Linked DNA regions of Nothobranchius furzeri. The protein of the gene in region 5 interacts with the protein of the main gene of each other region in a pairwise test. Links are inferred from orthologs where the notes say so. Each region holds a gene or a part of one and is shown on either strand. Other genes may lie near its edges. The genes, in order: nme7, ntaq1, ras-related protein Rab-39B, arpc3, golga2, washc3 and ncf2.

Region 1 (3,842 bases), on a different chromosome or scaffold from region 5:
TGTGTGTGCGCGTGTGTGTGTGTGTGTGTGTGTGTGTGTGTGTGTGTGTGTGTGTGTGAATAAAAGCTGTGTCGTACCCTAGAAAGTGGTGTATAAATACAGGCCATTAACCATTTGTTACAACAGACTGAAATGAAGGGATTTTATTCCACCTAATGGACCCTAACCCTTTCACAGTAACACTGAGCAGCTTGTTAGTTCTACAGCATCGATCTGTGGGAAGCATGAAGAGTCGCTGTTAAAGCGCTAGAGTTTACAGACCTTACTCATTTCATGTGAAACAAACACAGAAAAATAATAATCACCATTCCAAGAGCTGAGATCTCAAATCCAGCTGCAGATATGGAGTTAAGAATCTTCCCAGTCAGCCCTGTGAACACATGATGCTCATCAGTCTTTATGAGCCGAGTTTACACAGAAGGACAAACACGGTATTTTAGTGCTGCAGCAATCTCAGATGTCGTCCAGATCAAATAACACCTGAATCCACTGCTGCAGTGAAGCATCTGACTATCGTGAAGTCCGGATGCATCACTACTGAACGTGCTTCTGCTCAGACATCAGCGGTACATCTCAGTGCACTGACCTCAGTCTGTCCTCTGGACAGAGTGAGATAGTCTCGCTGATGTGTTGTCTATCGAGGGAAAGCATTTTTGTCCAGGCAACCTTTTAGGAAACGAGATAGTGAACTGTACATCCCATCAAAGAGCTGGGTCTTTGCTGTAGAAGTGGTGCAGCTGCAGTGACTCTGAAGGTCAGACTGCTGCAGACACACAATTGAATCAAGGCGCCAGTCTCGTAATCTCAGTCTGATAAAAAGTAGCTTGTGTACCTGTCACCCAGGACGGTTTTCATTAACTCTAAATGCTGCAGCGCAGACGTTCAATAGGAACCAGGCGTAGCCGCCGTCTGTGGATCTCTCCCTCCCTACGTCACAGTCCAGTTATGTGCACTAGGTAATAGCCTGAGTCCTTTGTGCCCTCCCCAGGACTGCACAGGTTCCACACACTCCTCGCAGCGCCACAAAGCAGCTGCTGCTGTTGCTAGGAGATACTATTCCAGGAGCCTGGCAACAGAAGCTTCTCTATTCCGGTCATGTCTGAGTGAATTTTCACTCACAGCGTCCTTCATGGCCACGGTGACAGGCCGTCTTGACGACATAAATGAGCTACTGAAGAGATTTCTGAGGGGAGATCAGAGCAGAGCTTTTTGTCGACCTCAGCTGGACAAATCATTCAGCCTGGTTTCTATTCTTGGCTCGGACCAAATATATCACGGCTCTGAAGGTAAACAGTGTGGGAGTCACTTCTAGCAGTGAAACTGACGCCTGAGTAGGAGCTTTGAAGTTTTAACAATGCCACACTTTCTGAGAGATAACTGATTCGTTTTAACTGAACTGTTTTAAGAAGCGCCAAACTTCTTGTAGCACATCAAACACATCAGCTTAAGCGAGACATTGTTTAAGATATGTTCTGCTACGGATCAGCGTTCATGGTTCCATCATTTACAGGAAGTGGCCCAGGTCCTGCAGCAGCAAAACTGCCCCAGACCATCATACCACCATCACCATGCTTCACTGTTGGAATGAGGATACTTCACTGAAATGAAGTGTTAGTTTTACACTAAATGTAATGTGAGATGAGTCTTATGGATTATTACGGTCAGTAGAACCTCTCTGTCGCCATGGTTGATTCATGACCTCTGACCTTAATGAGGTCTGCAGTGCTTTGGTGATGTTGGGTTCTTTAGACCAGAGCATGGAGATCTTTTAGCCTACTTCATGTTGTTGGACAGGTTCTGTTGAAGTTAGTGGCAGTAAGCAGGCCTGGGTGTGGCTGGTGAAACTCACCCCAGCTCTACAAATATGTTTAATCACAAATAAATCAGGACGTAACATGGGGAGCAATTATTGTTCCACATAAAACTACTTTTTTTAAATTTATTTGGACCCCCTAATGAAGGAAACCTTCATTTGAAAACGCCGGGGTTTGATAAAAAGTTTATATACGAGCACAGAGCACTATCACTGTGACCTGTCAGGAATGATTAACACAGCCAACAACCACCGGTATTCACTGAGCAAATGTTGAAATCCATGCGTTCGGACCGAGCTGGTTTATCACCGCGGCTCGTTGCAAGCTTAACTGTTGCTCAACGGTGCCTTGCAGACAAACAAAGCATGCCCACTTGTATTCTCTCTCACCGCCTCCTTTCTCAAGCCAAAGATTTGAACGTGCCCTAGCAGGCTAAGCGTGGCTGTAACTGCAGAAATAACAAAAGTGGGCGATCTGTTCTGTTTAGGTGCAGCATGAAGGCAGGCCAGAGAGCAGCGGTGCACAGATACACCATGGCTTTATTATCGCCCAGAGGCAGTGGACGGAAATAAGCCTTGCTTTCACAAAACCTTTATAATGAATCATTTTGTCGGTTTTTTTTTCTGACTTTTCTGACTCTGGGGAATACAGCAATAAACTCAATTTCACTTAGGGGTGGAAAATCCCTTTAAGTTTATTTCAGGGACCATTGAGAGCGTTTCCATCGTAAATGCAAGGGTACATGAATTTATACATGTATGTGCAATATAATGTCACGCTGGCTCAAACTGAAACATAAAGACAGTCAGATACCAGAGAAATGATGAAACTCAAGATACAACAAGATATTAGTGGATCTGTAGTTATTACTGTATGTTCTCTGCTGTAAGTGCAGAACAAAAGCTGGGGTCCACCTCCAGTCAACAGCTTTCTGTGTGCAAACATCAGCTCTGCACAGAATTTCACATTTCACAGCTCAGAGCTCTGGTGGCATGCCCCGGGAGCAGGGATCAGCACTGGGATTTGGAAAAATCCAAGGCCATTTTGGAAACCACATGGTGGCTTTGTTGGGGAGGGGGGGGGGAAACAAGCCAGCAGCACAGGAACTCAAAATAACAAAATACAAATAAAAGTGAGATATTTTGCCATGCCTGAGTGACTCCTTACCTGCTGATACAGCGTGGGGTTTGATGATACAACAAGTGCAGTCTGTGAACAGGGCTGTGTTGGAGGGGCCATGGCCGACCGTGGAAGGAAAAAAGAATTCCAGCTCCTTACAAAAACAAACACACAAACTTTAATGATCATGACCGTTCCAGGAAGTGCGATTCTCAGACTACTGAAGGCACAAGAGAGCGAGAACAAAGTCAAAATCCTCACTCTTGCTGCTACAGCTATGGAGTCAGAGCCATGGGCCACATTTTTGATGGCGTCTGTTCCAAACTGTGCACGGATGCTCTGTGGCGCCTCTGTTAACGCCACAGCAGAGTCTGCAGGTCCCAGGAGCTCCCTCCAGATCGACAGGGCCTTGTCACCCACCAGCTCCATGGCAACCACTGGCCCAGAGGACATGAAGTGCACCAGCGCACTGCAAAACAGAGTCACGTTGGAGCTGATTTGAATTTAAAAAACTCTAAAATGTCACCATCACAGGTTGTGGTCGGAGTGCTAGATGGCAATCACAACCCTTCTCTGCTCAGAACTGGGAGATCATTTACACGAGCACTCACCTGAAGAAAGGCTTTGACTGATGTTCCACGTAAAAGTCTTCCGCTTGGCTCCTGTAAAGCAACAAAACCATCCACCAAAGTCAATGGGTGACCAAATGATGCAGCACTTCTCACATGTCTGTTGGCCAGATGACTGTTATTAACAGAGTTTAGTGATAGCGGTGATTTGCTTTGGAAAAAACAATAACAGCAGAAAAAAGAACATTTTAGTAATAACTCAAAAGTATTTTCCAGAGCGCCGTTCACAGACAAGATTAGCACAAAGCGCTGCACAACTGGACGGGACATTGTGTATCCA
Region 2 (3,783 bases), on a different chromosome or scaffold from region 5:
CGCAGACAATCTTTACATTTAGAATTGGCATACAGATGTAAAATGTATGCAGTAAAATATAAAGCATTTTATTTAAATATCCATTCATTATTTTACAAGCACAGAGAGCCGCATCAGATGGATGGAAGAGCCACATGCGGCTCCAGAGCCGCTGGTTGCCGACCCCCGTCCTGGTCAGAGTTGTTGTTGTCGCTCATGTTTGTTCTAAAGAGATGTGCATTTCTCAAAGGGACAAAGAACTCAAAAGAAAATAATCTTAAAGATTGTTTGATTGATAAAATAAAACAGGTTGCTTACTTTATCTGGATGTTGCTGTCCTGAGCTTCTTCCAGAAAAGAATTTGAAACCAAACATGCCTGATCCTCCTGTTTAAACCAGTGTCCTAACCACTCCTGCCATACTGAACACAAACATATGACAGGTGAAAGTGATTGCACAAGTTCCACCAGTCATCTATAACGGTAAATAGAACTTATACCCAAACACAAATCTGCTGTTAACTAGAATCTGCATAATTTCACCAAGTTTTAATTGTTAAAATATTCTGGAAACCAAGATTCAAATTGACACCAAAAGTTACAATTATACATTTAATTTTTATTCTATCATTGCGCTACAGAGACAGAGAATCCAACGCGATCAAAGATTAAATAAAATCTTTTTATTTCTCAGGAACTCAGGTGAAATCAAGGTGCTGATGCTCAAAGTTCTCACAGGCGTGTGTGATGAAGGATCACTTCAGTTTCCAGATGAATCTGTGACATGGCTGAAGCGCTGTCGTCGTCATGTTTCTGGTTTCCTCTGAGCTTCAGAGGCCAAGGTGAAACTCAAGAGAGGTCAAACGAGATGCAGCTCAGCCCAAAACATAAAGTTCAGTTCAATGTTTGTCTCAGTCTCTCAATCATTTCAGATTAAATGTTCATAATAACATAAAAGCTAATCACAAAACAGCAGCTGCCAGGATGCTGATCAGGATTGAGCTGATGATGAAGATGAAGAGGTGGTGGAGGAGCAACCTAAGTATTTCTGTAGAAACTGATTCAGACTGAAAACTGTCCCCCAGCCAACAGCTGGGCTCATGCTGATGAAGTCATCCAGGTTCATCTGACACCCTGAAGAGGAAATGCACCAAAAGTACAAAATCACCTTTTCCTAAGACAGGAATCAGAAAACATGCTCCACATTAACTTGATTTGTTACCAGTGGTCTTTAAAGGGGGGTAAGAGGGAGGGGGCTTCTTCCAGCTCCCATCAGGGTTCTTCATGTGAGTTCGATCAGACGCAAAGTTCAAGAGGAAGCTCTCAGCAGGAATCACACGCAACTTCCTGTCACAGATATGAGAAGGTGTTGGTGATTTCACTCCAGTGCATTACCTGTGTAATTCAGCAGTGCTACCTGTGATATTCAGGTTTGATGTGGTGGTCTGAGCGGAGGGCCTGGCTGCCATAAAGCCTCAGATTGCATGGGAATGACAGCTCTGTGTCCAGATCATAAACCAGAACCTCCGACTGAGGATCCACATGAAGCAGGATCACATGGTAGTCCTAAAACACCCAAAAAAACATGATTAACAATGTATTATTTTAATGCTCTGAGGCCACTTTAACAGGAAGGAGAATCATAGACCCAGATCACTGGATGGTCAGCGTGTCCAGACTTCTGCTTCCACAGAGGAACCTGAAGGAGAACAAATAACATCACTGATCAGCAGCAGCAGCAGAAGTCAGATCTTAGTGAAAATGTTGATTCTTTATACAAACTTGGCAAATTTAAGGGGATTCGTGATGATTTGTTAAACTTTAGACCTGTTGAGACTAAATCTGTTGAGTTAAATATGTTTAAAGGGTTTTGTAACACATGACAAACTTCTCAGAGCTGATCTTCTCACCATTCTGTTGTCATTAGAGATGAAAACCACAAAGAGCTGTTCCAGTGGAGCAGTCCTCGCTGTTTGAACAAACTCACACAACTTCCACACATTCTCCTCACTGCAAAGCAAATTAAGACATCACTAATCAAACAGCAAAAATAATCTAATAATAATAAAATCATATCCATAAGAATGTAGCAGCTACCATTTAAGCCAACTGCGTTTTGCTACAAAATTTGATGAATAATTATGTAAAACCCAACAAACTGGAGTTTTTTTTAATCATGATGTAACAGAATGGATTTACCAGTAACAGCTGGTGTAAACACAGAACTCACGACTCGGTGTGATTCGATCCTTTACTGCCTTCATGGTTCGGTGTTACACCGAAACCGCTCCGACGGTGTCACTTCGAAATGTGTCCCCATGGTTGAAAACTCTTGTCACATCAACTTCATTATAAAGAAAATTGTTTGTTTTTTGCTACAAAATTTGACGAATAATTATGTAAAACCCAACAAACTGAAGTTTTTTTCATGATGTAACAGAATGGATTTACCAGTAACAGAACTCGCGGTTCGGTGTTACACCGAAACCGCTCCGACGGTGTCACTTCGAAATGTGTCCCCATGGTTGAAAACTCTTGTCACACCAACTTCATTATAAAGAAAATTGTTTGTAGTAAATATTCTAAGAACATTTTGCAGACCCTGGTACCCGAATATTTTCGTTAAACATAGTTCCCGCTTGTGTTCAGCACAACTGATACATAAAGAAAGCTGATATTCTTAGAGATTTTATTCTTAAGAGAGGCCTTTAACCTGGTTAAACAACAGATACAACAAATATTCCCAGGCCTGCGCAGTCGTGCATTTACATGGTTATTACAAATACTTTTACTATTAGAAACAAGCTTTGTACAAAATACCCAAAAACTTGGTTCAAGTTAAAAATATCCATAATGATGAAATTTGAAGCACAAATACTTTATATTTGGGATAGTCCTAATTTCTGCCTCTGGCAACAAAACAAACAAACAAAAAAAAAAAACCTTTAGAGCTGTAATTATGTTGATAATTTTAGATAATTTTATTTCCTTTTTGAAAGCTGTAATAAATGGTCTTGTTTTTCAAAAAGGTAACCGCAACACAAACTCCTTTAAAATGAAGGCAGACAAATAAAACTACATTTTGTAGGTTTTAAAAAAAGAATCAATAATTCTCCTAGTTTTAACATACAGAGACAAATTGTAAGAACAATATATTTTATTGAAAACAATAAAATACATTTTATTGAAAACAATAAAATAAACTACAGAAAACAAAACAAAAAAAAAAGAAGAAGGTATCCTGGTAATCAGTCCATTAGGGAGGTCAGACTCCTCCCACACACACACAGAGCTGCTGCTGGTTAAAACACTTTAGGTGAAGAGCCGGATGGTGGCGTCAGCTCCTGAGGAAAAGACCCACGGCTGAGTGGGGTGAAAGATCACGTCCAGAACACCAAGATCGTGGGTGATCACATGACCTCTGAGAACTTTTACAGGTACTATCAGCGGGTTCTGAAGCAGGTCGCTGGAAGAGACGGCGGCAAGTTTTAATATCCTGTCTTTTATAAGTCTTGTTATGAATAGATTTTCAGGGTGTGTTTGTGGTCTTACTTGTAAACAGTCCCGTGACAGACGATCACCGATCCATCATCAGACGCCGAGGCAAACAGAGGGTAACCTCTGTGATAGGCCACACCCCTCACTGCTTTCTTATGGTGTCTGAAGGAAAGAAGTGATCAAAAAGCTTTATTAGAACTGGCACAATGACAAAGACTACTGATGGACTCTTAGGAGCGTACCGCAGCATTTTGTAAGGTTTGGTTGAGAGATCAAGGTCAAACCAGCTCATCCTGCAGTCGTAGCT
Region 3 (4,443 bases), on a different chromosome or scaffold from region 5:
GCACCATTTCCCGTGAAACCTCCGTAGATGAGAAAATAAAATAAAACACAGACCCTTGTGGAAACACGCTACAGTCTTTCTTCTTGCTTGTAATGTTTCCTGAGCGCAGCCACAGCTAGGGCTGCTCAATTAATCGAATTTTAATCACGATTACGATCTGAGCTTTGAACGATTATAAAAACAAAACAAGCCGATTATTTGCTCCTCCCACTTGCGCTGCCCCGAGTTGCAAATGAAGCGCTCCTCCCAAAGTGTTGCCAACTTGGCGACTTTGACGCTGTTTCTAACAGCTTTTCAGACCCGCTTCTTGACTTTTTAAATCTTAAAAGTACCTAGCGAACACCTCAGAAACATCTCTGGTAACCCTTAGCTACTTTCTGGATAACTGTCGTTGTCGACGTTTCCTGCAGGTTAGCTAAACACTCCGCCTGCGCTCCGGACCTTTCTTCAGGACATTAGGAAAGGGAATGATGTAGTGAAGTGTCAGTCACTAAAGAAACAGCTCTCGGAGCCGGCTCCCTGTTGGAGTAACCAAAGTGAGTGACACACACACCGCACCTGCGGACTCCTGAGCCACTAAAAACGGCTAAATGTGCGGTGCGCTAAACACACGTACAGCTTGCCCCAATTGCTGTGAGACCGGGTGGGGGGTGCAGCTGTGGTTGGGACAATTATTACATTAACTGATGGACGACTTGTAAATAAATAGTTTATAAATAAGGTAGAAATAACTTCCTCACGCTGATAAATAACTAATCTCTCTGAGGACACGGTGCTAGTGTACTCTCCTACAGCACATTGACACGACTCAATAAATGTTATGCAACATTTTGTGAACATCAATTTTTTTGCATTTATTTGTTATAAATGCCACTGTATAATTCTTGCTGTCAGTATTTGCAAGATATTGGTATTTGGGTCTGTACTGGTTAGACTTGAATGAGTTAAACCAAGGTCTATAGCCCTTGGGTCATAGACTATGAGCTACAAGTATATTGGTCTTTTTTTACTGGGAATCAGGAGTTATTTTAGTGATCATCTTGTTTCTTATTTATTTTTGTCCTGATTGTGCCCTGAGCAATTTTATGACTGAATAAAAACAAATAAAATCAACATAAATTGAAAAATCGTCCTAAATAATCGAGATCTCAATTTCAGTCACCATAATCGTGATTATTATTTTTGCCATAATCGAGCAGCCCTAGCCACAGCTGCAGCTCACCGCTCCCCACGGGGATGGGTCAAAAGCAGAGATGTAATTTCACCAGTGTGTGATGATGACTAATGGGACTTTAACTTAACCACCTGAACTGCAGAATTATCTGGTGATTTTGTGACCTCGCAAAACCAGATGTGTGGAACGCTTTTGCAGCCATTTTGCATCTTAATTGCTACCTGTGGCAAGGGAGCGTGGAAATAAAACGTGTCTATTACATTATGTACCGCTTAACATCAGGATTTAATTAATGATGGGCAACATTGTCATTACAAAACTCTACAAAATCACGGTTAATATTTATGGAGGAATGCGGGAAAACGTGCTACCAGATTTTTAATATGAATTTTTTCAACACAGTTAGTCGTGATGTGACGCTTTAAAAGCGCTGTGGTTTTGGGGAGTGAGTGTCAGTAGGTCGGCTGTTCTGAGTGTGTGCCGGGTCTACAAATACAATATGGCAGTACAAGTAAGCAGTGTATTTTTACACATTTTTGATCAATGGAACCAGGACAAGACGCTTCACCAACTAATACTATGTGCTTATGGTTTAACGTTGAACAAAAAATAATAATAATAGTGACATATCAGAGTTTAAAAAACATATTGACGTACTAACTGAGGATTAATGTTTACATGCTGGAAAGTAATTTTACATGAATTATAATTATTATTCTAATTATTAAGAAGTCTATCATTTTTAAAATAGAAGTGTGGTATAATTATGTCCTATAACGGCTTGCCACATATTTGAGTAAACAATGTTTGTTTGTTTTTAGATGATCGTGCGTTTAGTGAATCAAAGGTGATTTTAACAGCAACATTTCCCAAAATCCACGGTCCTGTTGATGATTAACTATCAGTTAAAACACTTTTTCATTAACTAGTCCAAGTACGGTAATTTAATCTTTGAAAATGGTTGACAAAGTTAACTCGTGTGCTGCTGAACCGATTGAAAGGTTAGTATTAGAAGACAGACCTGATTGTGAGGAGACGGAGCCTGTTTAAAGCAAGAGAGGACTTCGCTTTAGGCCCTGGTTGTTGCTCTTCTTTACGCCGATCAGGACCTGGATGAGGCCGGCTCCATGGCTCCGACTAGTCTGGCTGGATCGATGCTCGGGGTGCAGCGAGATCACGGCGTCAAAAAATAAACGATAAAAGCAAAACACTCGATGTTTAACCTGAAACTCGAACACAAAACAGATGTAGCCAAAGCAGGGCCCCGGAGTCAAGGGCTAATTGTGTCCCAGTGCCAGGCCCGCTGAAGAAAAAACGCATTCAGAGCAGGTGCAGCTTTAAAAACACACCGGATTTCACTCTCACGTGCTTCCCGAGTCCGTTGTTCTTCTTTTCGGCAGCTGTTTCTGCCTGGACCCGTCGGACGTGGAGAAAGGAGGGGGAATCCCACCGTATCACTTCTGTGTTTGCTGAGTGTTTGTAGCTTTTGGCTGCTGATGAAATGGCAGCGGGAGGAGCAGCATCATATAGCCTGACTCATCCCGCATCAGTACCACTACTACCGTAAAGGAGCGAGCACGGCCGCAACGAGAAACTCCGAACACTTCCTTAACTGCGAAACGGAGCTAAAAAAAATACACAGACGTGTTTATATGTTATCCAGCGTCACATAAACAGACAAATGATATGTTTGTTTTCTGACCATAAAACTCTCGACATATCAGCAGTGACAGTGCAAATGTAGCTAGATCACGTGGCTAATATTTAGCCTCTTAAACTTGCTACAATAAGCCTCACAGTGGATGACATTCTAAATAAACATGTTATCCAACAACGAGTTTAAAATCTGAACGCTTTTAAACGTGTTTGAAGCGTTTATTTTTCTTAGGAGAGTCGAACAACAGCCAGGAAGTTGCACAATCTGTCCCTGAGCTGTAGCTGCAGTGCGCAGTCGCGGAAGTGGTCACCGTTCGCGCTATTGCCAGCGGGAATTGTAGTCTTATATACATGCAAGCAGAAAAAACGTGTTAAGTTGTTTAATGGCCTAAAAAAACTCCTATTGTGAGTTTATGTGTTTGACAAATAATAATAAAAAATTATTTATTTTTGCGTTAATTAAAAGTTATTGGTTTGGTGGAGCAGTGGTTAGCGCTGTTGCCTTGCAGCAGGAAGGTCTTGAGATCTCATCCCAGCCTGGGATCTTTCTGCATGGAGTTTGCATGTTTTTCCTGTGTGTGTGTGTAGGTTCTCCAGCTTCCTCCCACAGTCCAAAAACATGACTGTCACGTTAATTGGTCTGTCTAAATTATCCTTAGATGTGTGTGTGTGCATGGTTGTTTGTCCTGTGTGTCTCTGTGTTGCCCTGCGATGGACTGGCAATCTGTCCATGTACCCCACTTGTTTGCCCGTTGACTGCTGGAGATAGGCACCAGCCCCCCGTGACCCTGCATGGAGAAAATGCATGAGAAAATTGATGGTTTGGTGTGGCCTTTGTTTAACCCCAGCCTCCCCCCATAAAGAGACGCCTCTTGAAATTACACAAACTGCCCATCTGAAAAATAGCTTTCAGACTTACAGATGATCAAATAAATATGACAAATAGGACAAAAATGAAAGGGGGAAAATAAGTAAATAAAAAAATTGTACCCAGGAAAGGTTTGTGTGTAAAAAAATGCTATACTTGTGGCCTCTTGTATGTTACTTTGCAGTCATTTATTATTAAAAAAAAAACAAATGTACTCCACTGTGTGTGTGTGTGTGTGTTTTGGAAAAAAAAGAATCACTTTAAAACAGAAATAAACTGGTCATTCAGAAGCATCAAAATATTTTTGCCTTTTTCATATCATTTTAACAGTCTGTTGAATGAAATGTTGATGAAAAGTTTTGATATTTAAAACATTTTTCTTAAAAATAACATCTCAAGCTAAGATTAGATGTTTAACTAAATTAATAAAATATGTTGACAGGTGGGTGGATTAAATGAGGTCATTGCTGTTTGCCCTGCATGACATATTGATCTGAAACATTGGCCAACATATTTTTGAAGTGTTTAGAAAATGTGAGCAAGTAAAAGATTAGTTAATAGTTAATCTAGTGCATTGTTTTGTGATCGGAGCACGTCATTAAGTTCCATCTGTAACTTTAATTCTGTTCCATCAACGAAGGAATGTTTTTCAAACAACAAGACACTTCATCAATTTAAACTAGGTTAACAGATTTAATCAATCTAAACCAGCTCGACTCAAACAGAGGGTTGTTAACATTTAGAA
Region 4 (4,485 bases), about 7.0 Mb from region 5:
CGTCTGCTAGCAACACGTTGGACCAAAAAATGTGCTAAAAATAGCAGTTTTTACACAACACGTCTGACTTTTTACTGTGTTGTTATTGATGTCTGTTGTCCCTCGGGATTGCTGCAGGAGGACACGGGTATTTATGAGAGGCAAACGAAATAAAGTAAATAAATGTTTTGTGATCAGTATAATTTACATAATCACGGCAAACATGCTTTCTTGACAATCCTTTTTATTGTGTGAGAAAAAAAGTGTAGAAATTAAAACGGACGTGTGTTAATGGGGAAACAGCTGGCGAGCCATGTTTGCGCATGCGCCGTGAGCGGTTCTGGTGCTGTTTGGGTCGCAGCCGCTCACATTTGTTTACTGTGAAGTGAAGTTGAAGTGCTGAAGTTCTGAAAACTAATTTTGAATAAAACTTGAATAACTGGTAATTGCTTGCTCATTTTAAGAGGCCGCTCATATTTTATAACAGGCTATTTGATATAATGGTTTACAAACACAAAAGAGTAATTTATTAGAGTACTCAATCGATAAGATTCGATAGAGTACTCAATTATAAAAATATTCGATAGCTGCAGCCCTAATCCAACCTTTATGCTTTTTTCTTCCTTCTAAAACAAGCTCAGACAGACAGAAGTACAGCTTTATGTTTAGTTGATCGTTTAATGCCATCGCTCACCTTCCTCCTGCTTGTTTGAGGGCTTCACATACATGGCATTAAGAGGGAAGCCAGGCTCTCCAGGGATGGGGAAATTTGTGATGCCTAGAGTGTACATCTCCTTCTCTCCTTGATTCCTGGAGCTGCACTGCAAGGATTAAAGCAAAAAATGTTCAGTGAAACCCATTTTACATGCCCTAGATTAGAAATGATTATAAATTAATAAATCACACATGTGCTTCTTTCTAGAAGCACACTTTATGCACCAAAACCCAGCTATTGAGCTCTCTGGTTTCCAGGCCCGACTGAGACGCTTCTACTTTCAAACAAGCATTTTAAATGCTACCACTAAACATTTTCACCCATCGAATACAACAGCTGTTAACACTGTACACTTTAATGATACAGATGTTATAAACTCACCTTCTGTAGCTTCTTCAGACACTCAGAAATGTAGAGTGTGATGTAGATCAGGGTCCTGTCTGCCTCATTCTGAAAAAAATATAACGCACTTTTAAGTGATTTAGTTTAAAGCAGTCATGTTTCCCTACAGCATTAATGCTAATGTTACAAAAGGCTTAAATCCAGGGCAGCTATGATGAAGAAACCGTGTTGAGTGGAGTGGAAGAAGCGAGCCCCAACATGTGATGGAATACGAAGTGCATAGCTGCTCTGAGACGGAAGGTGGGAAAGACAGAACATGCACAAAGGCAAGTTTTTATTTAAACATCTTTTATCTGATGAACTCCAGGTGAATTTTACAAGCAATTATAATCTGAAAAATCTTAAAACAAGCTTATGAAATCTCTTTGTAAATATTTTATGTTCTAGATAAAAACACCATGCATAAAAAGTTTGTGATTTTTAATAGGGGTAAACTCATATTTACAATGTTTTAATACATAAATCTTTATAATCCAATATACTTCTTTAGTAGCACTGATTTGAGAACAGGCACATCCACGGGCAGCCTGGTGCAGCTGCCAAATTTTATATAAATTTATATTTATGTTTCTGAAAAGACACCTGTTCAAAAAATGCTCTCAATTTTAGGTTGACATAATTTTTTTTGTTAATGTCTTGCTATCTACCCACACCATCTTTAAGATCGACTGGTAGACCGCAATAAATGTACTGAACACCCCTGCTCTAAAACATTACTGTCACTCCACCAGTTTTACATTTTAAACGATCAGATTATTGGTTTGTTTGTTAGATTAACTTTTAATAAATCATTGTTTTAACAAAAACCAGTGCACAAAATTAATATTCAACTGTTGGGTATATTCAGAGTTCAAAAACTGGTTCAGGTTCAGAAAAGATTTGCAGTAACTGTTATTAGTGACATTTTAGCATGCTGATAAGGTGAAAAATATCTAGATATCAGCCAGAAAAACTGGCTGATCATGACTCCTACATATGAGCATCGGTAAGAACGCACACCGGCCGACCTTTAATTCTTACCTTGATTTCATAATTCTTAAAGAAGACGTTGGCTTTGAAGTAGTAGATCGCTTCTTCAATAATATCAGAATCTAGCCCTGCAAGTTTAAAAAGAAAAAAGAAAATTTTCAATACAGACCAATGCCCTGAGTGTAAAATGTCATGTTTAGTTCATTTGTGTCTTCATTGTTTGTACAAAAGAATTTTGGTGGTTGGTTGAAACAAATCATACATCTTGTTGCAAATAATACATGCATGGGTTCCAGAAATAACAACATAGGTTGATGATGCATTCTTCAGCCCATATAAGGAAGTGAAGCTGACTCGTTTGAGGAACTGAATGACAGCCAAAACTCTGCACAGAACTGGTCAAGTTCTTGACATTTTCATGCATCTGTTACCCGGAAACAGAACGCGTTAGTGGAGACAATTACAGAATTATGATGCTTACTTACCGTCTCCTCTGGCTGGTCCTTTAAATTGAGTTTTAACGGGGAGCAAGGCCATGTTCCCCACTAGCCTTGTATCGGGGATCATCAAGCTTGAATGATACGCCTAAATAAAATCCAGAAAAAAGCAGCTGTCAGATCTGTTCAGATTCTATACGGCGATAGCGCTAGCGACGACCGTACGTTTCACTCATTTACATTCAAGAAGCTAGGGATAATTTCATGATAAACTTAATATCCTCAAAAGGAACATTTAGTGGAATATTGACAATTTTAAGTAATTTTACGAGTAGGTTTCTACCGAATGCTAACGAGCCTAGCTAACTATGCCACAGATGTCCGTCTTCACAGCTAACGTAAAATAAAGACAGTTTCATGACACAATTCTGGCTTCATAAATCAATAAAAACAAATAGCTGTCGTCAACAGCTATCGCAAAGTATATACTCACCGGCATGTTGAATGAAAGATATCAATCCAACTGCTCAGCAAGACAAATATCCGTGCACCCCCAGACGCTGCTTCCGCCTTTCCCACCCTGTAGCTTTACCGGAAGTGAACACGTGTCGTGTGACATAGCGGCCACTGGGGGGTGCTGAAAACAATCTCGTCACAGAAAAGTGCACATTGTGTAATGTTTTATTTAAAAAATATAACATTAGTACATCTATTTAACAACACTTCAGGTTTTTATTTTTAATTTGTCAAATGAAAATAAATCTTGAGTTGTATAAATAATAAAAACAGAAAATAATATTTTAAACATAAAAGACTAGTCCAAAGTCAGTTTTATTTAGCTATTGTCCATTTCCTCTTTTGATATGAAGCTCTCCAGCTGAACTTCATCTAAAACCTGCATGCACATGCTGTTTTCCCAGCTGACACACGATCACAATACTCTTCAACAGACAACTTTGTTTTGAAACAGCTCATCGTAGTTTAAATTTGCTGGTTCTTCATCAACTTCCTGATGGAGAAGAAAACCATATTTTATTTAGTTTTAATAAATAATAAAGATTTGCATTATAATTAGATTTGTGTTAATATGGTTGTTTCTTCACCTTAGGCTCCTTGAATTCCAGGTCCTCTCCATACTGAATGGAAAAGTCGATGTGCTGCATGACTATGTTAATGCCTTCCTCATCTGTGCGGTCAAAAGGCAAGAATCTGACCATACTGTAGTCATCTATCTATATATAAAAATAAAATAAAAAACAGAAAAAATATGTCAGTTTACCATTAAAAAATGTTTCTAAATCTAATAAATGACATCATACCAAACCACAAATAGCTTTGGTAAGCTTCTTGAACTTTTGGCTTCTGAAAGTGTCAGAATTATCCTCCATCATAGAGTACATGTCGGGGTCCAGGTACCTTGTAAAAATACACAACTGCCTTAAAGATTTACCAATTATAAACAGTTTATGGAAAGCAAAACTGATGTTGCATGTTAACTTCTCTGGCACTACATACTTTTTTTGCTTTAACCATGCAAAACTTACTTTTCTATTTCTTTCTTTGCTTTGGGGCTGAGCAGATCCATCTTTGTCATGACGTTTACTTGAGGAATTTCTAATGACACCATGGCACTCAGGGCAGCCATGACCCCAGATATAAACTACAGTTGAAACACGTAAAAGATGAGCGCACCTTAGTTTAAAACAACTTGCGCTAAAGAAAATGACACAAACATAAAAGAACAGATATATGGTTACCTTAAATGACTCCACCATGAACTGTGAGTCGACTAAAAACACCCCACACACCCGAAACTCCCACTGCTGGAGCTGCTCCACCAGTTGTCTCATCACAGGGACGTGTGTGTAAAGTTCAATCTGACCTGTTTAAAGTAAAAACAACACAAAGCTTCAAACTTATGTAATTTAAAAAGGACTTACCTTTAGATCAATTAGACCAAACTTAACAGCCAATACTAAAGTT
Region 5 (2,651 bases):
TTTCATCCCACACTTGATCGATGAAAATATATGAAAAACTAAAATGGGGAATGATACATACATTTCTACAGATGCTTGTTGTATAATATGCTGTAAACGATAATAAAGGAACATAAAACAAAAAGAAAAGTAAAATAAATTTCTAAAACATGAGAAGCATGAACTTTATCATGTTACCTACATTTATAATTTGCAATTAATTTGATAATAATCACGTATTAACTATGAAACTCATGCGATGAATTGAACATTTTATTAAATGTCTTTATTTAGATTGATACTGTGCAGCCTAAATTTCTCATTAAAGCTTGGTTTATTTTAACAGTTTTAGAATTAAATGTAGTGTTTCCTGTTCACTGATGCTTACCTCTGATCTATTAGGTCAAACTAGCAGAGCTGCAGGATCTGGTCATGAGGCTGGTGGCTGAGAGGAACGACTGGTACAACCGCTACGCTGGAGCTGTAGCCAACATGGGGGCGGTCAACCCAGACCTGCTTCCTGTTGGACAGGACCACTCTCTTTCAGAGCACCAAACAGGATCTGAGGTTCACGCCGTCAGTGGAGACGGTGAGCACTAGTAGATGCACTAAATCACTAACTGAGCGCTGCAATTTCAGCTTCGTTTCTCTTTTTAGTGGCACTGTTAAAGTAAAAGTCCAATTAGTTATCACACACTGATGAAATTCATCTCTGCGTTTGACCCATTCCCTTGAGGAGCGGTGAGCTGTAGCTGTGGCTGCGCTCAGGAACTATTTGGTGGTTTAACCCCCCCCCCCCCCCCCAATCCAACCCCGCAAAGCTGAGTGTCAAGCAGGGAGGTATTGGGTCCTATTTTTAAAGTCTTTGGTACGACCCAACTCTACTAGAACCACGATCTCTTAGGGCTGGGCAATAAATCGAAAATTTATCCTTATCGAAATTTCTGACTCTTATCGAGATAAATTTTCCCATGTCAATAAATTTGATAATAAAACAATGAAAATTTGTGTAGGTTGGCAACGTTCATGTCCATTTCAGATGCTATACCACCTTGAGTCACATAAAAATGTGATTCAACATAATACATGTGACAGCCCCATCTAGTGGGCTGCATGGTGGAGCAGTTGTTAGCACTCTTGCCTGGCAGCAAGAAGGTTGCAGGTTCGAAACTCGGCCCTGGCCTTTTTGCGTGGAGTTGCGTGTTCTCCCCATGCATGCGTGGGTTTCTTCCAGGCACTCCGGTTTCCCCTACAGATCACAGCATGACCTACAAGTTAAAAATTGTACGTCGCTTTGGATAAAAGCGTCTGCCAAATAAATAAACATAAACATAGAGGACAACTTTTGTTTCTGTGCATACCTGTAGTTATCGTCCATTTATCGTTATCGAGGTTAAATCCTCACTATATCGTGATACTGATTTTAGACCATATCGCCCAGCCCTATCAGACACTCTACCTCTAGGCCTCTGAGAAGGTTGGTGAGACGTTCTTAGATTTCTAGTGGTTCTCATTTAATTTTTGATTAATTCAGGCTTCAAAAAGGCAAATTTGGTGAATGGAATCTTTAAACTGACCCTTTACAAAATGGTCCAATAATTTTGTCTGTATTAAAGTGACAGAAAACGTGATGCTTTTGCTCAGGTGCTCTTGTAACAACAACACATTGTCATTTTCAGACAGATTGTGAATTTCTTCTATATATTTGCAGAGGTTCACTAGTTTTTCTTTTCCACAGAAGCCATGGAGGTCATCCCGCTGTCTGAGCCTCCCAATGGTCTTGAAGCTTCATCATCCCAGACGCTATCACGTGGACTTGTTCAGACTGAATCCAAACCACTGGGGCCAAAGGAGGATGGCACAGCCTGGCAAATCATGCAGCTCCTCCAGGAGATCCAGAACCCACAGGGGGCTCAGAGGTCACCCCACTTCCTAGGAGAGAACCCTTGCATCCCGTTCTTTTATCGGCCTGACGAGCAGGATGAAGTCAAGGTCCTGGTGGTGTGAGCTGTGGACATGTCCTGAGATGTTAACCCCTACAGTTTACCACATTTGTAGCCTCTTGATCAGATTTACAAATGCTCCTTACAGAGTTTGACTCCTTAAAACTGGTCAGATTTAGGAAAAATGTGTCCAAGTTACGTTGAGTCGCCCCTTTTTGTTATCATCCCTTTTGTTTTTTTTAATTATTTTTTATGTGAGTTAATCATTCTTCTTAAATGCAAATTGATTAATCTCGAATTTTGAATTCGTGTCACCCATCTCACACAAATGTGCAATAAAACAGGGCGTCAGTTGGTCCCCTCGCTGGTACAGTCCCTAAAGAACTGTAAAGAACTTTAAATTAGTGACTTTTTTTACACGCAAATGTTTCTTTCCTCACTGCACACATGCCAAAGAGCAGCACCACAACTGAATGTATTAACCCTGATATTTACGTGTGTGTGTGTGTGTGAGAGAGGGAGAGAAATGTGAAGAGGACGGTGCAGAGATGGGACGTCAGTACGGCTGGCCTAACTAATGAACGCAGACTGGTGAAGCTAGGTCAGAGCTGGATGAAGTTACTCAGTCAAGTTCAGGCAGAGACGAGGGCGCCGGTGGTTCAAAAACCACCATGTTCATTTTTTATTTTTGTTTTGTGTCCAACACTGAAAATAACTGGCCTTTCTACA
Region 6 (4,361 bases), on a different chromosome or scaffold from region 5:
CGTCATTGTGCAAACATGACATACATCTCATCACAAATGGCGCAAGCCTGTCTTGTTTGCACAGTAACGATGGGAATTAATCAGCGAGACCCAATCTATACTTCAGTTTAAGTCTGACCACTTTGGTGTAAAGAGGAGTTCATGTTTGACTCAGTCACTGCAGAAATAAGCCCAAATCATCAGCCCCCTGCCACCGTGCTTTACAGAGGACAGGAGGTGTTTGAGCTGACCTGGTGCACTGTTTTAACCAAAAGTGATGGCTTGTTTACTGACCTCGGCCTGAACTCTGTGCTGCAGACTCAGGAAATCTGCCCTGAAGGTTTTCCACCTTTCTCACTGTAAATATGTAACGTCACACTTCTGGATAGGATTTTACAATCCTGTCAGAGTGTGAGGAGGACAATCAAAATCCAATCCGATCACTATGCAAACAAAGCAGCCAGTAACAAACATACTTCTTTGAAGGTTCTCAAAACTAAAAGTCTATCCTTTACAACAGGAGGGGAATGTTGAGCCTTTTTTGTACGTAAACTCCAAAAGAAAACAAAACAACAGTTGCGTTGACGGCAGGTTTCTACTTGTTGCATCGACCAAAGAGCTGATGACAATCTACATTCCGACTTAAAAAGAAAAGTTCAACTGCCGATTTTTGGCATCACAGACTCCCAAACAAGAAAAAAGACACAAAGACTGTTTTGGCATTCATCGTGGCCGATTGAACCTGCATGTCTGTTGCAGGTGGGTCTGAACTCCTACCTCTGAGGAAGAAGGTGGTCCTGCTGCTACACCGTTAGTTAGGTTCTGACCGATAGTACTGGGTCCTTTAGTGTGGGAGGCCTGCTGTTGGTTGAGGCCCTCTACTGTGACGTCCTCCAGTCCAGGAATAGAGGACAGCTGCTCAGAACAATGTCACTGCATAAGTGAAAAGACAACATCCAGAAACGGTATCAAGGTCTCACAAGTTACCTTAGCCTCTAAAATGCTGAGTGTGGTTTCAATCTGCTGTATGCGAAGAGAAATGTTTGCAAGTTTCTGTGAAGAGAAGTAAAAAAAATAAATAAATACATAATTTGAGTTCATATTCTGAGGCAGAAGAAGCATTAAGGAGTAAAAAACAAACAAACAAACACAAACCTCTTCACACACGGTGGAAAACTGGTTAAGAAATCGTACGGTGTGCACAACAAACTGGTTGAGAAATCCAACGATTCGTCTCTGCTGTATTGCAGGAACCTGAGAAAAGATAAAAGCAGTATAATTAAAAACTTACCAAGTGTTACTATAGTTTATTTTACTAAACATAAACCTCTAGTATAATTGATTTTTGAATGTTATGGCTTTAAATAATATTGAGGGGATTCTAAAATGACTTTTAACTACTGCTGTTAAAATGTTTTTTGTAAATCTTTATTGAAACAAAGCAGTACAAAACAACAATTAACACCAGGGAGAATAAACAACATCTACATAAACAGACCAGGGTCATGTGTTAGCAGTGTTATTTAAACAACACAATAACATACAGTAACCTGTGGATTATTGCAAAGTTTCAAGTATTTGAGAGAATTTTAAAAGCAGCTGAGTTCTACCTTTAAAGTCTTGCATCAAACAAAATGCTAATGGCAAAAAGAATGATGAAAACTATCAAATCTGATTTTCTGTGTTGGGTAGTTACTAATTATATTTACTTGAGTATTTTTAGGAAAAAGAAATGCAACATTTTAATTAAGTCTTTACATTATATAATTTATCATATAACATTATACTATTATCTGTTTGAATGGATTTTATAAATTAAAGGAGCTGTTATGATTACTCATTATTTGAGCAGCTTTTTTGCAAACACAGTTTTTGTACTTTTTTTTAACTACTCAAGTAAACATATATGAAAGTAATGCTACTCTTATTTGAGTATAATCTCTGGCTACTCTACCCACATGTCTGACTTTGCATATAATGGATGCAAATCGGTGTGGAGGAAAAACATTTGGAATAACAGACTACTGTATATCAGGTGTTGTGCCGAAAAGAGCACGCCTACCGAAATGTGTATCCCCGTCGAAAGACGCAAATTGAAGAAGAATTTGAATTATGAGCAATTCAGAATTTGAACACGTTTCTAATCCGTGTTTCTCCTGAAAAGATTTTGTTTTTGACTACAAATATGATGAAATAATGATTAAATAATTGACCTTTTTCAACACGTTTGACACTAATGTTTTAGCAAGTATTAAACAATTTTGTTGGTTTAAAAAAGCAGACTCAAAATGACTAACCTTTTATATGTGCATTATATTACTTAAAATAAAACATGTTATAAACAGTAGTTTATTTTACTTATTTGCTCATAAACCATCATTTTGTAAGGAAGGATGCAGCTCATGTTGTACACATTTATTAAAAAGCGGTCTCATACGCGCCTTCCCGCAGGGGATGCACATTTTCGCAGACAAGCTCTTTTCGGCACAACACCGGTAATAGAATCTAATGAATGATGTATTCAAATAGAACATCAGTGTTCGGAGAGAAAACGTTCTTTCCTCTTTTGATACTTCTTTAGAACAAACCAAAAGGAAAATGACTAGGCAAACAGTTACAAGTAGGTGAAATTAGTTAGAAAAAGGCCACAGTTTTCTCTGCATTAGTGATTATATATTTTGTTAAAAAGCACAAACATAGCTTTGGGTTCTCAGGTTTTCAGTGTTAGCTAACCAGTTAGAAACACAAACCTTCGTAAGATCGACTCCTGACCCGACTAACGGCAGGCCGTCCTCGTCCATGTTAGCGTTTTACACTTCCTGTGAATAGGAATGTGGTTTCAGGTCTAATGGCACGAAATTTGAAAGAAAAAATGACATGAAACAAAACATTTACACCGTTGAAGGCTTCACGTGACACTGAGCAGTGTGACTGGCTACGTGATTACGTCACTCTAGGAAAAGGAAATGATTAACTTTTATTTTGAAGAGGCATCAATGCACTCGAATTCACACTTTTATATTTCGAGCTGTCGAAATTTTCTAAACTTTTTCTTTATCTAGTCATTGGCTTTGAAGTAAAAAAGAACTTGAAAATAATAGCATTCTGAAATTCATTAGAAAACACCAAAACACGTCTTTCAGACATATATTTTGAAAAGCGGAAACTTGAGTGAATACTTGAGGAAGCGATGCTTGCGCTCTAATAGCGCATTAGCCACCAAAACAAACAGCACAAATATACACAGATTCCTCAAATTCACTTGGTGGGATGCTTTAATGGAAGTTGTGGAATCAAAAGAAAAAATGGAGGGTATGTATGTTACCAGTTTGCCTTTCTGATATTTTCTGGAGACGTGTTTGTTTTACTATCAGTGGGCTCTGTCTATTTAAAGGAACCACAATGTTCATTATTTGGCAGACTGTTGTTGTTGCGCAGTGGAAGTTAGCTTGCTGTTAAATGTACAGACACTCTTACGCGATATATTGTTTTAACTAAGTTGCGAAGCTTTTGAGTAACATCTGTGGACATTTTCCAGATTGTGTATCTAAAATGTTAAAGATCTGTCCAGGATTTTCTCCAGTTCAAAAGCCTGTAGCTCAAATTCAATTCAAGTTTATTTATACAGCGCCAAATCACGACAAGAGTCGTCTCGAGGCACTTCACATAGTTAACATTCCAATACAGGTCAGTTCATTAAGCCAATCAGGAAAAAAAGTTTCCTATATAAGGAACCCAGCAAACTGCATCCAGTCACTGACTGGTCTCAGTGACTTTAGCAAGCAAGCAAGCAAATGACAGACAACAATGTAACAGATCACGTGATTGTTTTATTGCTTGATTGTTTTTAATTATCTGTATGAAGCCAATAACTGTTTCAGTTATGTGTAAAATGTGAGAACTTTGCAAAATCACATCGTGAAAATTTTATCCACCTGCTGTTTCCTGCAAGTACTCTGAATGCTCTCTGAATTAGGGGGTGTGTTACTGCCCTCCATCGGTCATTTCTGACTTTACACATTAATGTTTCAGACCCAAACTTCCCTTTGCCCTCCTTTCGCCTCCTGGTGCCTCCCTTGCATCTTCTGTCTGCTGCTATGTGGAATCTGATGAAGGGGAAAGATGTGATGAACTATGGGAAGCTGCAGGAGTTTGTGTCCATGCTGACAGAAGCAGTTCCTGGTTTGATCAACCACAGACAGAGAGCGCATCTCCTTCTCGGATTGAAGGCCAGGGTGAATGGTGTTTTGTTTCACATGCAAACGTTCTTGTTTTGGTGTCTCAGTCGTGCATTAACATATTTTGATGATATTTCAGTTGATTTTGGAGTTGTGCAAGGGTTCTGCTCGACACGATGTTGATTCTGATGTGATCCAGACCTA
Region 7 (4,326 bases), on a different chromosome or scaffold from region 5:
AAAAAAACACATATTGAAAAGTATTACTTAAATTAATTTGAAAGATTTTGGGATTTTAGAAGATTCACTTACAGTGGGGCAAAAAAGTATTTAGTCAGCCACCGATTGTGCAAGTTCTCCCACTTAAAATGATGACAGAGGTCAGTAATTTTCATCATAGGTACACTTCAACTGTGAGAGACAGAATGTGAAAAAAAAATCTATGAATTCACATGGCAGGATTTTTAAAGAATTTATTTGTAAATCAGGGTGGAAAATAAGCATTTGGTCGCTTCAAACAAGGAAAATCTCTGGCTCTCACAGACCTGTAACGTCTTCTTTAAGAAGCTTTTCTGTCCTCCACTCGTTACCTGTATTAATGGCACCTGTTTGAACTCATTATCTGTATAAAAGACACCTGTCCACAGCCTCAAATAGTCAGACTCCAAACTCCACTATGGCCAATACCAAAGAGCTTTCGAAGGACACAAGGAAAAGAATCGTAGACCTGCACCAGACTGGGAAGAGTGAATCTACAATAGGCAAGCAGCTTGGTGTGAAAAAATCAACTGTGGGAGCAATTATCAGAAAACGGAAGACATACAAGACCACTGATAATCTCCCTCGATCTGGGGCTCCACGCAAGATCTCATCCCGTGGGGTCAAAATGATCATGAGAACGGTGAGCAAGAATCCCAGAACCACACGGGGGGGGGGGGGGGGGGGGGGACCTGGTGAATGACCTGCAGAGAGCTGGGACCACAGTAACAAAGGTCACCATCAGTAACACACTACAACGGCAGGGAATCAAATCCTGCAGTGCCAGACGTGTTCCGCTGCTGAAGCCATTGCATGTCCAGGCACGTCTGAAGTTTACCAGAGAGCACATGGATGATACAGCAGAGGATTGGGAGAATGTCATGTGGTCAGATGAAACCAAAGTAGAACTTTTTGGTATAAACTCAACTCGCCGTGTTTGGAGGAAGAAGAATACTGAGTTGCATCCCAAGAACACCATTCCTACTGTGAAGCATGGGGGTGGGAACATCATGCTTTGGGGCTGTTTTTCTGCTAAGGGGACAGGACGACTGATCCGTGTTAAGGACAGAATGAATGGGGCCATGTATCGTGAGATTCTGAGACAAAACCTCCTTCCATCAGTGAGAGCTTTGAAGATGAAACGTGGCTGGGTCTTCCAACACGACAATGATCCCAAACACACCGCCCGGGCAACAAAGGAGTGGCTCCGTAAGAAGCATTTGAAAGTCCTGGAGTGGCCTAGCCAGTCTCCAGACCTCAACCCCATAGAAAATCTGTGGAGGGAGTTGAAAGTCCGTGTTGCTCGGCGACAGCCCCAAAACATCACTGCTCTCGAGAAGATCTGCATGGAGGAATGGGCCAAAATACCAGCTACTGTGTGTGCAAACCTGGTAAAGACCTATAGTAATCGTTTGACCTCTGTTATTGCCAACAAAGGTTATGTTACAAAGTATTGAGTTGAATTTTTGTTATTGACCAAATATTTATTTTCCACCCTGATTTACAAATAAATTATTTTAAAATCCTGCCATGAGAATTCATGGATTTTTTTTCACATTCTGTCTCTCACAGGTGAAGTGTACCTATGATGAAAATTACTGACCTCTGTCATCATTTTAAGTGGGAGAACTTGCACAATCGGTGGCTGACTAAATACTTTTTTGCCCCACTGTATCTTCTTCCTTCCAAAACCCAAATAGCCAACACCTATGCTGATAAAATGTTGATTTCTAAACATATGTGGATGTGTGTAATTGAATTATATTAATGAAGTGTAACCGTATTTTATGAGAGGATGATCGTAACTGACCAGGGTTGACTGCAGAGCCCTGTCGATGAGGCTGAGCTTGGCATCTGTCTTGTAGTCCAGTGCCTTGACCAGGTTTTCCTGGGCCTTTTCCCAGCTACCCAGCTTAGCTTCAGCCAGGGCAAGATTGTGGAGAACCTGAAGCAGGAGGTGTCGACGTGACACTGAGTTAGGAGCTTTTCAGTCACACCGTCTTATCAGGTTTATTTGAAGCCCTCATATTGAAAACTGAATTAGGAAGAGCTGAGGCTTCAACGGTTTCCTCTTTGCAAGAATATATAAATCACATTGAAAATGAGGAATTACCATCATCAGCCAGCTTTATTTTAACCTCAGATTTCTGACGGACAGTAGAGCTAAAGCTCACCTCACAGGCATATAGGATGTATCTGAGACCTAGTGCTTTGTAATCGATCAGCTGGTTACCCCTCAGAGCTTTAAAGGCTCTCTGGAAATCAGCTGAACTCTCCTCATACCTGTGACCAAGACAAGTAAAGGTAATAATTATTACACATAAGGCAAGTTTTATAAAACATTTGATGTAATTTACCTTTTCTTTTTGTAAAATGTCATTCCCCTCTGAAAGAAGGCAACTGCCAAATGCTCATCCTTGCGAATGCTGCAGTCAAACGCCTGAGAAATAACAGGTAAGAAAATAACTTCCTCTAAAGGAGCAGAAAGCCGGTGACACCACTTCTTCTTTCACTGTGACTTGCACTTTCAGAAACCTCTATAGGGAGCCTAAGTCACGTCCTTCCGGACCATGGGTCCTCAGCTGCCAAGAAAATTGAAATTGAATATTTTCTGATCCTGTTTGATCTGTTCAGGGGACCCGTGAGCCAACCGGAGGGCTCCTTATATCTGACACGTTTCATCTCAGCCTTGCCAAATAAATCCAGATGATTTTACTTTCTTACGTGCACAGACTTGCAGATTTGATTTAAAATAAAGTAGATCTAACGTACCTTTTCAGCATCATCCAAGTCTTGGTTCAGAAGATGAAGGCAACCAATGTCAAAGTAAATTTTGGAATTTGGTTCTTGAATGGATAAGAAAATGCAGAGGGCTTCTGACCATTCCTGTCTGTCGGCACAAGTTACAGCTTTGTCCCACTGCCGCAGAGTGTCCACATAAGACATGTTTGTTGGCTTACCAGCACACTGATTCTACATTGAGGAAGTTCTTCTTATTTGTACCAGTGAAACTGGGAAGTGTGATGACAGCTGTTACGATTTACAAATGCATCACAATCAGCTCTAAGTGCTAAAGCCACATTTAAATTATTTTCTCCCGTTCAGTGCAATAATTGCACTCTAACTTACTGCTGATGTACCAAACAATTTGCACATTGTGTCCAGGAAATATGTATATTTTTATATCTACTTTTTCAGATGGTCTTGTGTTTATTTTTTATCTGGTATGTCAAATGCTCTATTTGAGTTCCATCAATATTAGCCTACAGTTAACAAAAGCTTTATGATTTAGATTCTAGAGATTTTCTATCTTTGAATAAATTGTGGGTTTAAATGTGTGTGTGTGTGTGTGTGTGTGTGTGTGTGTGTGTGTGTGTGTGTGTGTGTGTGTGTGTGTGTGTTTAGCTCTAAACTAACGTTGGCATTTTATAAGCAGAAAAGCTTGAGATGCATAATGAAAAATGTTTCACATCTAATTGATTTCTAGTATTTTTTAAATAATTATTTTTTAACTTTATTTTGTAAATTTACAAACAAACATGGCACTTTGACAATGTTAAATCCAAAACTCAAATTGATTTCCAGTGTTGTAACGACCTTAACTTTGATGACATTCAGACATTTTTACTGAAATAAGTAATGTTCAGATTATTGTTTGTTCTTCTTTAATAATTCTAAATTTATTGAGCTGCAATATTTATTTAGTAAATATATGATGTGTTTTTGTGCCAAATGCACAAAAACAACTTCCGGGTTTTTCCTTTCAAAATAAATTTCTTGTGACATGACTATAATCACAAAATACTGGTGCGTTTTCTTACAACACTAACATCATATTATAAATGTGTATTTATATATTCTCAAGGAATTCAACGATTTCGCCTTTCAATAATAACGTATCTTCTTTACTTGAATGTATAAAATGCTCTTATTTTGATAGAGTAAAAACGTTTATCCGTTAGCTCATCGCTAGCTAAACAAACATGGCTCTACTACACTTTCGGAGTACGAACCTTTATGATGCGTAGAACAAATGAAAATTGGAGCTATGTAAGGATTAACAAGAAATAAGTCATGTTTGGTATGACTGTTTAGATTAAGTTGCTATATTATTTGTGTTGGTAGCTCGGAGCACCCTTTTGTGTCCGTATTTACACACAGCTAGCTCCAGAGTTGGCTAATGTGAGCTAACAAGATGGACCTTGGAACAATGTTGTACAATAATTTGAAAGATGTTACTTGGAGCTCAACGTCTTTACCTTTGGATCAGCTTGTCAGTGCATATAAAATGCCCCAAATCGTCAAACT

Evidence for each region.
Region 1: the proteins of golga2 (region 5) and nme7 interact in binary tests that used the Homo sapiens proteins (3 or more experiments, as listed by UniProt). The two-hybrid records come from large-scale screens. The link is inferred for Nothobranchius furzeri from reciprocal best matches to the Homo sapiens genes GOLGA2 and NME7.
Region 2: the proteins of golga2 (region 5) and ntaq1 interact in binary tests that used the Homo sapiens proteins (3 or more experiments, as listed by UniProt). The two-hybrid records come from large-scale screens. The link is inferred for Nothobranchius furzeri from reciprocal best matches to the Homo sapiens genes GOLGA2 and NTAQ1.
Region 3: the proteins of golga2 (region 5) and ras-related protein Rab-39B interact in binary tests that used the Homo sapiens proteins (3 or more experiments, as listed by UniProt). The two-hybrid records come from large-scale screens. The link is inferred for Nothobranchius furzeri from reciprocal best matches to the Homo sapiens genes GOLGA2 and RAB39B.
Region 4: the proteins of golga2 (region 5) and arpc3 interact in binary tests that used the Homo sapiens proteins (3 or more experiments, as listed by UniProt). The two-hybrid records come from large-scale screens. The link is inferred for Nothobranchius furzeri from reciprocal best matches to the Homo sapiens genes GOLGA2 and ARPC3.
Region 6: the proteins of golga2 (region 5) and washc3 interact in binary tests that used the Homo sapiens proteins (3 or more experiments, as listed by UniProt). The two-hybrid records come from large-scale screens. The link is inferred for Nothobranchius furzeri from reciprocal best matches to the Homo sapiens genes GOLGA2 and WASHC3.
Region 7: the proteins of golga2 (region 5) and ncf2 interact in binary tests that used the Homo sapiens proteins (3 or more experiments, as listed by UniProt). The two-hybrid records come from large-scale screens. The link is inferred for Nothobranchius furzeri from reciprocal best matches to the Homo sapiens genes GOLGA2 and NCF2.

Annotation. Positions count from the first base shown.
Region 1 is NC_091756.1:61,686,859-61,690,700, forward strand, and holds part of nme7 (nucleoside diphosphate kinase homolog 7), read right to left. Parts: intron 3,596-3,842; coding exon 3,545-3,595; intron 3,403-3,544; coding exon 3,195-3,402; intron 3,088-3,194; coding exon 2,982-3,087; intron 371-2,981; coding exon 306-370; intron 1-305. UniProt on the Homo sapiens protein: Possesses an intrinsic kinase activity. Displays 3'-5' exonuclease activity with a preference for single-stranded DNA. Does not seem to have nucleoside diphosphate kinase activity.
Region 2 is NC_091759.1:9,346,528-9,350,310, reverse strand, and holds ntaq1 (protein N-terminal glutamine amidohydrolase), read right to left. Parts: upstream 2,337-3,783; 5' UTR 2,243-2,336; coding exon 2,178-2,242; intron 1,989-2,177; coding exon 1,889-1,988; intron 1,678-1,888; coding exon 1,627-1,677; intron 1,545-1,626; coding exon 1,396-1,544; intron 1,326-1,395; coding exon 1,201-1,325; intron 1,113-1,200; coding exon 970-1,112; 3' UTR 642-969; downstream 1-641. Other genes in the region: ribosome biogenesis protein bop1, read right to left, coding at 3,291-3,444, 3,531-3,638, 3,719-3,783. UniProt on the Homo sapiens protein: Mediates the side-chain deamidation of N-terminal glutamine residues to glutamate, an important step in N-end rule pathway of protein degradation.
Region 3 is NC_091742.1:80,053,362-80,057,804, reverse strand, and holds the start of ras-related protein Rab-39B, read right to left. Parts: upstream 3,112-4,443; 5' UTR 2,877-3,111; intron 2,800-2,876; 5' UTR 2,196-2,799; intron 1-2,195. UniProt on the Homo sapiens protein: The small GTPases Rab are key regulators of intracellular membrane trafficking, from the formation of transport vesicles to their fusion with membranes.
Region 4 is NC_091746.1:47,862,168-47,866,652, reverse strand, and holds the start of arpc3 (actin-related protein 2/3 complex subunit 3), read right to left. Parts: upstream 3,117-4,485; 5' UTR 3,002-3,116; coding exon 2,996-3,001; intron 2,651-2,995; coding exon 2,551-2,650; intron 2,194-2,550; coding exon 2,117-2,193; intron 1,145-2,116; coding exon 1,076-1,144; intron 801-1,075; coding exon 674-800; intron 1-673. Other genes in the region: gpn3 (GPN-loop GTPase 3), read right to left, coding at 3,446-3,511, 3,606-3,734, 3,822-3,918, 4,047-4,162, 4,260-4,384. UniProt on the Homo sapiens protein: Component of the Arp2/3 complex, a multiprotein complex that mediates actin polymerization upon stimulation by nucleation-promoting factor (NPF).
Region 5 is NC_091746.1:54,867,029-54,869,679, reverse strand, and holds part of golga2 (golgin subfamily A member 2), read left to right. Parts: intron 1-381; coding exon 382-568; intron 569-1,717; coding exon 1,718-1,986; 3' UTR 1,987-2,651. UniProt on the Homo sapiens protein: Peripheral membrane component of the cis-Golgi stack that acts as a membrane skeleton that maintains the structure of the Golgi apparatus, and as a vesicle thether that facilitates vesicle fusion to the Golgi membrane.
Region 6 is NC_091741.1:43,372,224-43,376,584, forward strand, and holds the start of washc3 (WASH complex subunit 3), read right to left. Parts: upstream 2,916-4,361; 5' UTR 2,781-2,915; coding exon 2,730-2,780; intron 1,234-2,729; coding exon 1,135-1,233; intron 1,033-1,134; coding exon 967-1,032; intron 895-966; coding exon 757-894; intron 1-756. Other genes in the region: uncharacterized protein, read left to right, coding at 3,258-3,291, 4,012-4,214, 4,297-4,361. UniProt on the Homo sapiens protein: Acts as a component of the WASH core complex that functions as a nucleation-promoting factor (NPF) at the surface of endosomes, where it recruits and activates the Arp2/3 complex to induce actin polymerization, playing a key role in the fission of tubules that serve as transport intermediates during endosome sorting.
Region 7 is NC_091747.1:36,775,627-36,779,952, forward strand, and holds the start of ncf2 (neutrophil cytosol factor 2), read right to left. Parts: upstream 2,987-4,326; 5' UTR 2,965-2,986; coding exon 2,791-2,964; intron 2,459-2,790; coding exon 2,376-2,458; intron 2,302-2,375; coding exon 2,193-2,301; intron 1,964-2,192; coding exon 1,829-1,963; intron 1-1,828. Other genes in the region: garem (GRB2-associated and regulator of MAPK protein 1), read left to right, coding at 4,214-4,326. UniProt on the Homo sapiens protein: Subunit of the phagocyte NADPH oxidase complex that mediates the transfer of electrons from cytosolic NADPH to O2 to produce the superoxide anion (O2(-)).